Linked DNA regions of Lonchura striata. The protein of the gene in region 2 purifies or fractionates together with the protein of the main gene of each other region. This does not show direct contact. Links are inferred from orthologs where the notes say so. Each region holds a gene or a part of one and is shown on either strand. Other genes may lie near its edges. The genes, in order: PSMA2, CUL1 and FBXL18.

Evidence for each region.
Region 1: the proteins of CUL1 (region 2) and PSMA2 purify together in Homo sapiens (affinity purification with mass spectrometry; 3 studies listed by BioGRID and IntAct, with this or other methods). This does not show direct contact. The link is inferred for Lonchura striata from reciprocal best matches to the Homo sapiens genes CUL1 and PSMA2.
Region 3: the proteins of CUL1 (region 2) and FBXL18 purify together in Homo sapiens (affinity purification with mass spectrometry; 3 studies listed by BioGRID and IntAct, with this or other methods). This does not show direct contact. The link is inferred for Lonchura striata from reciprocal best matches to the Homo sapiens genes CUL1 and FBXL18.

Annotation. Positions count from the first base shown.
Region 1 is NC_134603.1:104,635,081-104,638,826, forward strand, and holds the start of PSMA2 (proteasome subunit alpha type-2), read right to left. Parts: upstream 2,576-3,746; 5' UTR 2,499-2,575; coding exon 2,458-2,498; intron 772-2,457; coding exon 695-771; intron 160-694; coding exon 27-159; intron 1-26. Other genes in the region: MRPL32 (large ribosomal subunit protein bL32m), read left to right, coding at 2,847-2,970.
Region 2 is NC_134603.1:107,528,970-107,532,715, reverse strand, and holds the start of CUL1 (cullin-1), read right to left. Parts: upstream 2,451-3,746; 5' UTR 2,325-2,450; intron 888-2,324; exon of another isoform or gene 1-887. UniProt on the Homo sapiens protein: Core component of multiple cullin-RING-based SCF (SKP1-CUL1-F-box protein) E3 ubiquitin-protein ligase complexes, which mediate the ubiquitination of proteins involved in cell cycle progression, signal transduction and transcription.
Region 3 is NC_134618.1:14,661,457-14,665,202, forward strand, and holds the start of FBXL18 (F-box/LRR-repeat protein 18), read right to left. Parts: upstream 2,783-3,746; 5' UTR 2,602-2,782; coding exon 2,575-2,601; intron 2,437-2,574; coding exon 2,236-2,436; intron 1,407-2,235; coding exon 1-1,406. UniProt on the Homo sapiens protein: Substrate-recognition component of the SCF (SKP1-CUL1-F-box protein)-type E3 ubiquitin ligase complex.

The DNA.
Region 1 (3,746 bases), about 2.9 Mb from region 2:
AGTAATCAAACAAAATGTTTTAATACCTGTAATCTGGACCCATACCACTGTACACTAAACCTATATGTTTGGTAATTGGTTCTACTTTGTGGACGCTCCTTTCATCATACAGAATGGATTTCTGCTTCTTCTCAGTTGCCAACACCACTCCATTTGCAGCTAGAAAAGAACAAAAAATTTCTTTAAAAATTAAACTAAAATTAGCAGTCAAAACATAGAATGAGCTTATTAAACTAAAAAACTTCTTCCTCTCTCTTTAAAAAACATTAAAGCTTACAATTAGATTAAAGAGAGATACTTTGATGAATACATAGTTTCTTTTTTAAAATGAACATACAGCTCCCATAATCCCATTCTCAAGATTCTGTGCAACATTAATTATTGAGCAATCTAACTAGCTTTTTTTGTGTGTGTGTTATTTCTATATAAAAGGACAGGAACACTCAAAAAAGCCCCAAAACCAAACACCTATTTCTACCAGCTGAATGTCTCCAAAATCACCCAAAAAAAGAACCCCAGGAAGCATAAAATTTAGTAAAGCATGTGAAAATCCACTGAAAGAGTAACAAAACATGTGACAGAAAGAAAGATAAATAAGGATCCAATACAAGAGACCCGTTACACGATCCAAACTGCTTTAGTTCTCCCAAAAAATAGACAGAATCCCAAATCCATCAGTATTTTCAGGACATACCTTTAATCCCAACTGATGGAGCTCCTGCAGCTACTGCAGCCAAAGCATATTCAATCTGAACAAGCTTTCCAGAAGGACTAGAAAGGAAGATGCAAAATAAAGTTTTCCATTCAGTGGGAAAAATCTTCAGGGTGTGTCATGACTTTCTATTGAAATTACATTGTATATGTGGTTTCCAAGAGCTTTCGAGACACTGATGTTCACTGCTGAAAGGAACCAGCAAAACACAGCTATGCTTTTTGACTGACAAGCAAGACAGCACAACTCCCATTCCATTCCCGGATAATTCTGCATTTTGTTTTAATGATCCACCTTATCCTGGCAAAGGATGCAGGATCATCAGAATGGAGCTGCAGGTGTCATGCAAAGTAAGTTACAAAGTATAACTTATTCAGAAAAGGGGGATGGAGGGGTCCATTCTCCATCCCTACTAAAAAGGACACCAGAGACAAGCACTCACTGGACAAGTGGTTTTGCATGTGATCTGTTCTCTAGGCTGTATTTCAGACACTGCTGCTCTAATAGTTGCAGATGTAAAATGGGATATTATGTAACTCAGTGTTTAGATGAAGAAAACCAAGCAGTAATCAATCAGTGTAGTCACTTATACACTGAGGAAACGGGGTGTAAGGGTAACAAAGTAGTAATTCTGGCTTTTCCACTACAAACTATAACAAATCAGAACAATCATTCCAAGCACATAGTGCTTCTGTAAAATACAAAAAGTTTGTGACTCCCTTAGGAAATAGTTTCTGAAAGCTAATAAAGAATTCAATCTACTTGAGCAAAGCAAGCATGTTTGGCTGCTTCCATCCACTAAGAACATTCTTTTCATCATTTTAGGTTTCGAACTGCTTCATTTGCTCAACTGCAACAAGCCTTTAGCAATCCCTTTTGCAGTTACACAACATAACTCTCCACTGAGATTAAAGGGACACTTCACCACAACAGCGTAAAGGTTCTTATGGCTAGTTTTTCTTTTTTCTATATGCAACATAGGTCTGAATACTTTAATAATTCCAAAATATGAATGGAAGATAATTTCCTTTATGCTGAATTAATCTTCAGTCTAGGTATTAAAGCAACACCCAACAAAGACTACTCCAATAGCACATTCACTCTGTGCATGCCATCATTCCACACTCAGACCGTGCAAAACACCAAGTGCAAGGAGAGCAGCCATGCCAAGTGTAGCAGGAAGGAACACAAACTATTTTAAAACTCATCTGCTTCACTCATTCCCACATCTGAAGCAAGCTCTCAGGACAGCACAGCTCAGCTGTCATCACACATTTCCAGTTAGCTCAGAATCATAGAATTATTCCCCAGCCTATACTGCGTGTGTGTGGTGCCCCCGAGTTTGCTAAGCCAAGCACTCGCTGACAGGCACCAGCAGTGTTGAGACAGACCTTAATGTGGTCCTACAGCAGCGGAGACACAAGCGGCGCCCGCACTGGGGGCCGAGGTCAGCGACAGACACCAGAGGGACCCGCCCCGCGGCCCTTCAGGAAGCCTCTGGGCAGCTGCGTGTCCCCCTCGGGCGCCTGAGCCCCGCCGCTCTCCCCACGCCCGTCACTCCTGCCCAGGTCGAGCCCCCGCTGCCCCCCAGCGCTCGCAGGCCCGATGACTCTGCAAAGCGCCCCCTCGGTCCTGCTTCGCCGCCGCCAGCAGGCCGCTCCGCTCAGTCTGCGCGCCGTTCTCCCGCTGGCCCGGCAGCCCGCCCGCCTCTGCCCGCGAGCCCACAGCCGTCCCTGCCCCCGCACCTGAAGGTGGTGAGGGAGAAGCTGTAGCCGCGCTCCGCCATTTCGGCACCAGCCCCTGCGCTCCCCGCGCCGCCTCCTCGGCGCAGGCGCGAACGCCTCTCCCGCTCCCAGCGCGAGGGCACAGCGAGCGCGCTGATTGGCGGGGTGGCGGCCTCTGCCTGAGCGCGCCGGGATGCGGTTGGCGGAGGCGCGCCGTGAGGCAGGCTGGGTGTTTGAGTCCCCCACCGCCCTCCACCGCCCCGCCTTCCTGGTAGCGACAGCAGTGCTGGGACTTGGAGTCCTGCTCCTGCCTCCCCGCAATGTCGTGGCCGGCTAGGGGCACTCGGTTTCCCAGAAGGCTCAGGAACAGGATCGCCTCCCCCGTGAGCTCGGCGGGGCTGTGCGGGCTCATGGCGGTGCTGGTCCTGGTCCGCTCTCCGCTGCCGCGGCTTCGCGCTCTGCTCCAGCGCTGCTGGGAGCGGCTGGAGCGCGGCCTCTGGCCGGGTGTCTTCGGGGGCCAAAGCCCACCCTGGGGTAGGTTCCGGCCCCTTCTCTGCCCAGCTGAAGGAACGCGTTCCTGTGTCACCTGTCTTGGGAAGGGTTTGGAGTAGATGATCTCAGAGGTCCCTCCCAGCGCCATTGTTTCTGTGATTCTGTGGGAGGGCGACGTCGCGGCCGAGGGACTCGTTTTACCCCTGAAGGGCGGAGGGCGGGGGAGCGCTGGGGTCAGTGAGGGAGCGGGGCGGGAGCGCCGCTCTGGCCTTGCTTCAGGGGTGATGGCAGCACCGGTGCTCGGCTGTAAGGAATTTCTATCTCAGAATCACAGATGATGCTGAGCTGGGATGGACACACAAGGATCATCAAGTCCAGCTCAGCCCTGCACAGGACAGCCTCATTAGTCACACCATGTGCCTGAGAGCATTGTGCAAACACTTCCTGAATTCTATCAGGCTTGGAGCTGTGACCACTTCCCTGGGGAACTTTTTCCAGTGCCCAAACACCCTCCGGGGGAAGAAGTTTTTCCTAATGTCTGATCTAAACCTCCCTTAACTCAGCTTCATGCCACACTCTTGAGTCCTGTCACCACAGAGATCAGTGCCTGCCCCTCTCCTTCCCCTCATGAGGAAGTTGTAGACTGTGAGGGGGTCTCCTCTCAATCTTCTCCAGGCTGAACAGATGAAATAACCTCAGCTGCTTCTTGTATGACTTCCCCTCCAGGCCCTTCACCATCTGTGTGGCCCTTCTTTGAATGCTCTATAAGAGCTTTATATCCTTCTTATGTTGTGGCGCCCAAAACTGCACACAGTATT
Region 2 (3,746 bases):
AATTTAAGTTATTTAATAAAGCAATAAAGCAATGTGATTTTCTCATGGTTTGAGCAATGGGCCCAAGTTTTAAGGCCAGTTCAAAGCAGCGTACAAAGGAGCAAGGTGGAAGAAGAATCATTTTGCTAAACCACCACCGCTACTTTGTCAGCTAAGGAGTAAAACACATATGCCTAATTTAGGTGCCCAAACTAAGACTATATTTCTATAAGATCCCTGGCTAAGCAATGGAAAGTTTCCTCCAGAGACGCTATTAACACAAGGCACTGAACCGGGATTCTATAGTTAGGTGTATGAATTAATCCCGAGATCAAATGTGCTCACCATGCCTCCACAGGGCAAGTGTGTCCAGTGCTGAAACTGCACCTCAAACATGTGGTCATGAGATGGCTGTGAAATGTAACCAATCTTAAGAACCAAACCAACTAAGACAGACACAAAATAAGAAGTTGGACAATAAATACTAAAAACAAGAAGTTACAAAGCAGATGGAGAAGGCTTCTTTCTGGTCAAGTCACCATCAGAAACTCAAAGTGCCGATGCCACACAGACATGTAATCATCAACACACGACATTACAGCAGTTCATTGTGAGTAAAAACTACGTACCATGGTACCTGTACAGTATCTTGCTACTTCCCCAAAGAGGAGGTATCCCAAATACACTCCACACCAATTAAGTACCAATTCACAATATGGTATTACAAACATTATTTAGCCTAATTCAAGCTATGTAGCCACCACATATTTCTGGCTTCCATGGACGATTCTTCCCAGTCCTCCCAAAAGGATTTCCAATAGAGATTTTTTTCTCCCCGAGTAGCATCAGGGCATGTGTCTGTATTAGGGCTGAGGTAAGTGATTATATATGAACACATATACCAAGGGAAAAGTTGCTAAAGAAGACAGTAAAAAATCAAAACAAAATAAGGTAAACCAAGTAATTAATCTCTGTCCTTTCAGTGTTTAATGCTATGCCAGCTGAAACCAGAACACAAGTATTCAGATAACCTAGGGTAAAATTCCCTTCTCCTCAAAGGCATAGATAGAGCATTTAAATACAAAGTGAGGGAGACAGTATATGAATCTACAGAGGAAAGGAGTATGTGCAAAGAAAAGAGTATTAGGTGAGATCACAAGGAAGGCTTTAATGACAGGAAAGTAAGATCAGAAGGGCAAAAAAGCATGAAGAAGGAAACGGTTACTGGGCAGAAGAAAACTGGAAGGGGAAAGGTAACAGAGGGGTAATGACAGTGCTGGAATATAACTTCAAGAGGAAACAAGAAGGATGAGGAAAGGACCCCAATCAGGACACACTTAGCTTGCAGTGGCAAAGTTACTGGGAAACAAATGAGCTGGTTATTTGAAACAAAAAATGCAAGATAGTCATCTGGATAGAGACAATAAGTACACAGACAAACAAAGGGTTACGGGGCACCTACAACAGTAGGTGGCAACAAGGGGAAACCCGGCGCACAGTCCTTGAGAGCAAGAGAAACCTAGAGAAGTTGACCAAGATGAACTGTGGCAAAGATCCCCCAGCCACGATGGTACGTGAGAGCACTAGGGAATGTCTCCAGGTACAACCAAATAGCTCCTAGACAGACCTGAGTATCACCAGGGCTATGGGGATTGGTGGGATGAACAGGGTGAAAGGAAGCAGCACAGGAAAGGACAGGGAGGACAGAGAGCAGGTGAACTCCCCAAAACAGTGCCCGGTGAGGTTACGGACAAAAGCTCGCAGGGAGAAAAGAGGGGAGAGGCGTGGGAGGAGCAGGGCCTGGGATGGCTGGGGTGGGCAGTCCCGGGGCCGACTGGGGCACAGCGAGGGCTGCGGGAGGACGGGCCCGAGAGCCGCCGGGGCGGGACGGAAAGGCTGGGGCAGGCACCGAGGCGCCCTAGCCATGCGGGGGCCGCGGTCACGGGGGAAGGCCGGGGTGGGAGGGAGGGAGCGGGCAGCCCCGCGGTGGTCGGGCAGCTCCTGCGGGGCCGGGGCGGCCAGCGGGGCGCTCCCGCACCCCGCCGGGGGCGATGCGTGCTGAGTGCGCAGCTCGCGGCCTCCCCGCTCCGGCCCGGCCCGCGGCTCCGGGGCCGGATCCACGAGCGGCCCGGGCGGCCACCGCCGCCGCCCCCGCGCTCCCGGGCCGGCAGCGCCCCCGGGAGAAGAAAGGCGGGCGGGCGGGCCGGGCCCGACCGCCCCTTCCCCCGGTCCCCGCGGCGTGACTCAGTGCCGGGCCCCGCGCCGCCGCCTTCGCGTCCTGCCGGGCCGGGCCGGGCCGGGCCAGGCCTCGCTGCGACACAACGCCGCGGCCTCCCTGCACTCACCAGCATCGCGCGTCCCGCAGAGTCAGGGCCACGTCCGCCCGCCCCTTCCGCCTCCGCCGGGCCCGGATCCGCCGCCGCCACCTCCCCCCGGCGCGGCCCGGGGATCGCGGAGGCGCCGCCCCTCGCAGCCGCCCCGCCCCGGCTCACGGCGGGCGGGGAAGCGGGGCTGCGGCTGCCCGCGCCGGCAGGGCCCGGCGGGGCAGGGCCCGGCGGGGCCGGGCCTCGGCCTGCGGCGGAGCCCGCCCGCCGTCAGCCGCTCGGCGGGGGAGGCCGGCCCGCCGCCATCCCCTTGGCAGCCGGGCCGGCCCTGCCCTGCCCTGCCCTGCCCGAGGGGTCGGTGCTCCGACCCTCCCCAGGTTAGTCCGGTGCCAGAAGAGCTGAAGGATGAGCTGAAAGACTTGGGAGTGACGATTGATGAAAAAGTCAACATGAGCCGGCAAGTGTACGCTCGCAAGCCAAAAAGTCAATTGAACTTGGGCTGCATCAAAAGCAGCTCTGGGGTCAGCAGGGCGAGGGAGGTAATTCTGCCCCTCTGCTCGTCTCTGGTTAGACCCCAGCTGGAACGCTGTGTGCAGTTCTGGTGTCCCCAACATAAGAAGAACATGCAGCTGTTGGAGTTAGCCAAAAGGAGGCCTCGAAGGTGATAAAAGGACTGGAACACCTCCCCCATGAACACAGGCTGAGAAAGCTGTGGCTGTTCAGTCTGGAGAAGAGAAGGTTGTGTGGCTGCAGCTTTCCAGTATCTGAAGAATCCTAGAGGGAAACTGGAGAGGAGCTCTTTGTCAGGAACTGTAGTGATAAGACACAGGGTAGTAGGTACAAATTCAACAAAGGGAATTTTAAGTTAGATATTTGGAAGAAGTTCTTTACTGTGTGGGTGGTGAGGTGCTGGAACAAGGGAATAAATTGTCCAGGGAGGTCGTGGATGCCCCAGCCCTGGCAGTGTTTAACTAAGTGTCCTTGCACACGGCAGGGGGTGTTGGGACTAGATGATCTTTAAGGTCCATTCCAAAACCTTAACATTCTGTGATTCCATGTGTTTCAGGATTACATCATTAGACATGATAAGACTTTCCTCCATCCATGGCTAAAGAGCTGCTTCTGTATTTATGAGAAAGACAGGTTTCCAAAGTGTCCTGGACAGTGAATGGCACCACACCAAGTCTGGGAGCACGAATGGATGGTACAGCTGTGAGTTAACAGTGTATCTTTGTCAAGCAAGTGTTAAACCAAACTGTGAAGCTTCTCTGAGCTCCTGATGTGAATAACATCAGGAATCATTGCCTCTAAGTGCATGAACATTGCCTTGAAAACTGATTAAATGTGGCTTTTGTAAGAGCTTAGAAATCTTCCTGTAATTGTAAGTTTCAGAGTAGTAACAAGACAACTTGAAAACAACACTGCAGAGAGAAGAAGAGGGTA
Region 3 (3,746 bases), on a different chromosome or scaffold from region 2:
CCAGAGCCTGTGAGAATATTTGGCAGCTGTGCTAAGGTGAGGCTCTGCAGGTAAGTCAATTGGCTAATGGCAGCCACCTCTGAATCCCTCACGCTCTGTGCCCGGACACAGGGAGGCAACGAGTTCCGAATTGCTGGCTCGTTGCGGGGCATGGCAGAGGAGAAACTGGACCCAATTATCTCCAAGGTTCCCAAAAATCGGAGGCTTCCCATCAGAGCCCAAAACACTGAAGACTCCATCTTCTGATTTGCCTGGTCCCCTAAGTTCCTTGGATATGTCTGTATCCCAATCCGAACTTTCCTTCCAAATGTTTGGGGCACCAAATTAGGTGTGCTGGGAGGCTTCTCCACGCTTGCACCAACATCTGTGATGGAGCAAACTGGTAGTGCTAATGAGAGCAGGTGCTTTAGCCTGGACAGGAGCTGGCACAGGTGGTTCCCTATGCTTTCAGAGCTGTGATGGTGAGCTGCAGAGAGGTTCAGGTGTCTCAGGTTGCAGCAAGACACTACCAAGCTTTCTAAAATGCTGCTGTCAATGTCATCTTCTGCTTTCCGAAACAAGGACTCCGGGGCCAGGCAGTGAACGCAACCACTGAGATTCAAACTGGTCAGGCTTTTAAGATCCTTCCCGCCATTAATGACCCTCTGGATCAGGTGCCCACCAGATAAGGTGCATCGGCTAAAGCTGAAGTAGAAAGGGTTGTTGAACTTCAAGTGTTGCAGGAGCCCAGAGCCATTAATCCAGGCTTTGGGCAGTTGTAAAGCATCCAGACGTACATTTCGGGCCATGGAGTCCAGGAGGTTTTTGGTGGCTCCCGTCTCCGCAAAGCTGCCGGGGGCAGAGATGAGGAAGGCGTGGAGGTTCTCAGGTGTCCGATCACTCAGCACTGCCAAGTACAGCCTCACCACCTCCTGATTGACGTAGCCAGGAGCCAGCCTGGCGTAGAAGATGCGGAGGTTCTGGTAATGGGGCACGTTGCTCTCGCCCACCATCAGCTGCCCAGAGAGCATAAACCCCTCGCGCGAGCGATCGAGGATCTCGAAGTAGAGCAGCAGTTTCTCAAGGCTGGTGCAGCACGGGACGACCCCGTACGAGGGCGTGTAGAGGGTTTGCTTCAGCTCCGAGACGCGGCTGAGGGTGGCTTTGCACTCGCTGCTCAGCTGGCTGGCATCAAACCCCGGGTTGACGTCGATGGCCAGGGAGCGCAGGTGCTGCAGCGTGGAGAGCATCTTGGAGAGCCGCAGAGAGGTGACGTGGCACCCGGACAGGTTCAGCTTCACCAGGTTCTTGCACCGTGTTACGTGGTCGATAGTGGAGCTGGGCAGCCAGTAGCACCCGGCCATGTTCAGCTGGTAGATCTCCTTTCCAATGTCCCTCATCAGCTGCTTCACTTTGTCTTTGTTTACCTGCATCCAAACAAAACCACGTTCAGTGAGAGATACAGCAGTGGTGACTCAGTTTCCCAGCTGGAGATGGAGAGAAGAGTGGCTGGTACTTTTCATCCAGAAGTCTGGGGAGGGCAGCACAGCCTAAGAATTACCACACTGCTGGCAGCTCAGTTTGCCATGCTTTGGACTCTTAAGATTTACACTTCCTTTTGCTTCTGCAGTTCTGCATTACAGACTGTTCAGCAGCTGACAGTGGAAAGGAAAACCACCTCAATTTTCTACCAGCAAAACTATTTTGGCAGAACTGCCTATGTGCAGAAACTCAAATTGAAAGAAGAATGTTTCCATTCTTCTTCATTCAGTTTCCTCTTTTGGAAATGAGCACAGGGGGCTTTCCCCTGCCTGCACTAGCTGATACAGTTCTTATTGAATATATCACCCTTCCTTCCCAAGCTTTATTTTTGTTATAACATGCACACAATTTCTGGCTTTGCTGACTGCATACCTGACAGCAACATGCACAAGATTTTTTTGCACAACAACAGGGAAAACATAATTTGGGAAAATAGTAACTTTAAGGTCACATTTACTTTCATTTTAGCTTCCAGAAATATGGAGAAGTTAAGTTTTCACTGACAGTATTTTATAAAACTAAGGAAGCACAGAGCTGTTTCAACAAAGCATACTGGAAAATAAATGCTTTTATACAACAGCTTACTGTGTATTTGATTTCAGAGCTCAGGAGCAGTCTATTTATGTATAAACATTGGAAAGTTCTACTTCTTGGTATTGTTTTTCAGAAGTATGATTTGTCTTCACAGCTAACAGAAGAAACTACTCTCCCCACCTTATAGTCCTTCTGAAGCAGGACTGTATGTGTTAGACTCTTGTCAAGGCAAAGCGTTGCAAGTTTCCTGCAGGTTCTCCTGACATTGAGGATCAGGTCTGTGCAAGGGACATAGCTGAGGATGTGCAGAAGGATCTCATCTGAGAACTCCATCAAGTTGACTCCATTGCTTTCCTCCTCGCTCTCCTCACTTACGACCTCCTAGTAGGAAAAAAAAAAAAAAAAAAAAAGAGGAAAAATAAAAGGAGAATATGGAGGTAGTGCAAAATTTCACACGAAATCATGGCACTTTCACTCGGTCTCTCACTGTTGGCTAACATTTGCATTCATTGTACTTACTTCGCAACTGGAAAAGCGACTGTCCATGATCCTTTCCTAAATGTATCACAGCAATCTCCCTCTACATCCTTCCTCCAAGCGCCACCCGTTTCAATAACCTTTAGAGTTACATAACCGTGCATATATACATATATATACGGCTATATATATCTGCTTACACATACAGAAACACACCAACACTGCAGCCCAACATCACCCCACCTCTTGTGCAACACCCCCGCGCCTTAACGGCGACACCGGAGCGCAAACCGGCACTAACGCCAGGGCAGCCGCGGAGGGGCAGCGGGGCTGCTGCACCTCACAGCCCCCGGATCACCCGCCGAGGGCGATCCCGGCGCTCCGGCCCCGCCGCCGAGCGCTCTGCCTGCCCCCGAGCCCGGCTGCCCGCCCTGAGGGCTCCGGGCTCCCGCAGCCCCGCGCCCGCCGCTGTTACCGGCGCCCCGAGGGGCCGCTGCGGAGGGGAAGCGGGCGCCGAGCTCAGCCCCACAAGCCCCGACTCACCTCTCCGCAGCGCAACATGGCGGCAGCCGCGCGGTCCCGCCGCGGCCACCACCGCCGCCTCGCCGGGCCCCGCTGGCAGCGGCCGCGTCCCGGGCTCGCTCCCGCCGGCCCGGCCGCCTCACGGCTCTTCCGGCGCGGCCATGACCCGGTTCCGCGGCAGCGCCCGCCCCGCGCCGCCATCTTGAGCGCGGCGCGGCCGCCCCCCGCCGCCATCTTGAGGGCGGCGGCGCCGCCATGGAGGGAGCGGCGGGTCCGCGGAGTGAGAGAGCGCTCACGGTGGAAAAGAAATCTGAGCTCGTCCAGTCTAATCTTTGACCGAACGCCACCGTGTCGCTTAGTGTCATGTCCAGACTTTCCATAAACGCCTCCAGGGACAGTGACTCCACCACCCACCTGGGCACCCCCTTCTAGTATCTGACAAACCTTCCTGTGCAGAAATGCTTCCTGATGTCCATCCCGACCCTCCTCTGGCACAGTTTAACACCATTTCCTCTCATCCTGCCCACTGCTCCCTGGGAGCAGAGCCCGACCCCCATCTCGCTGGAGCCTCCTGTCAGGGAGTTGTGCAGGGCAAGAAAGTGCCCCTGAGCCTCCTTTTCTCCAGGCTGAGCCCCCGCCAGCTTCCTCGGCTGATCCTGGCGCTCAAGACCCTTCCTCGGCTGATCCTGGCA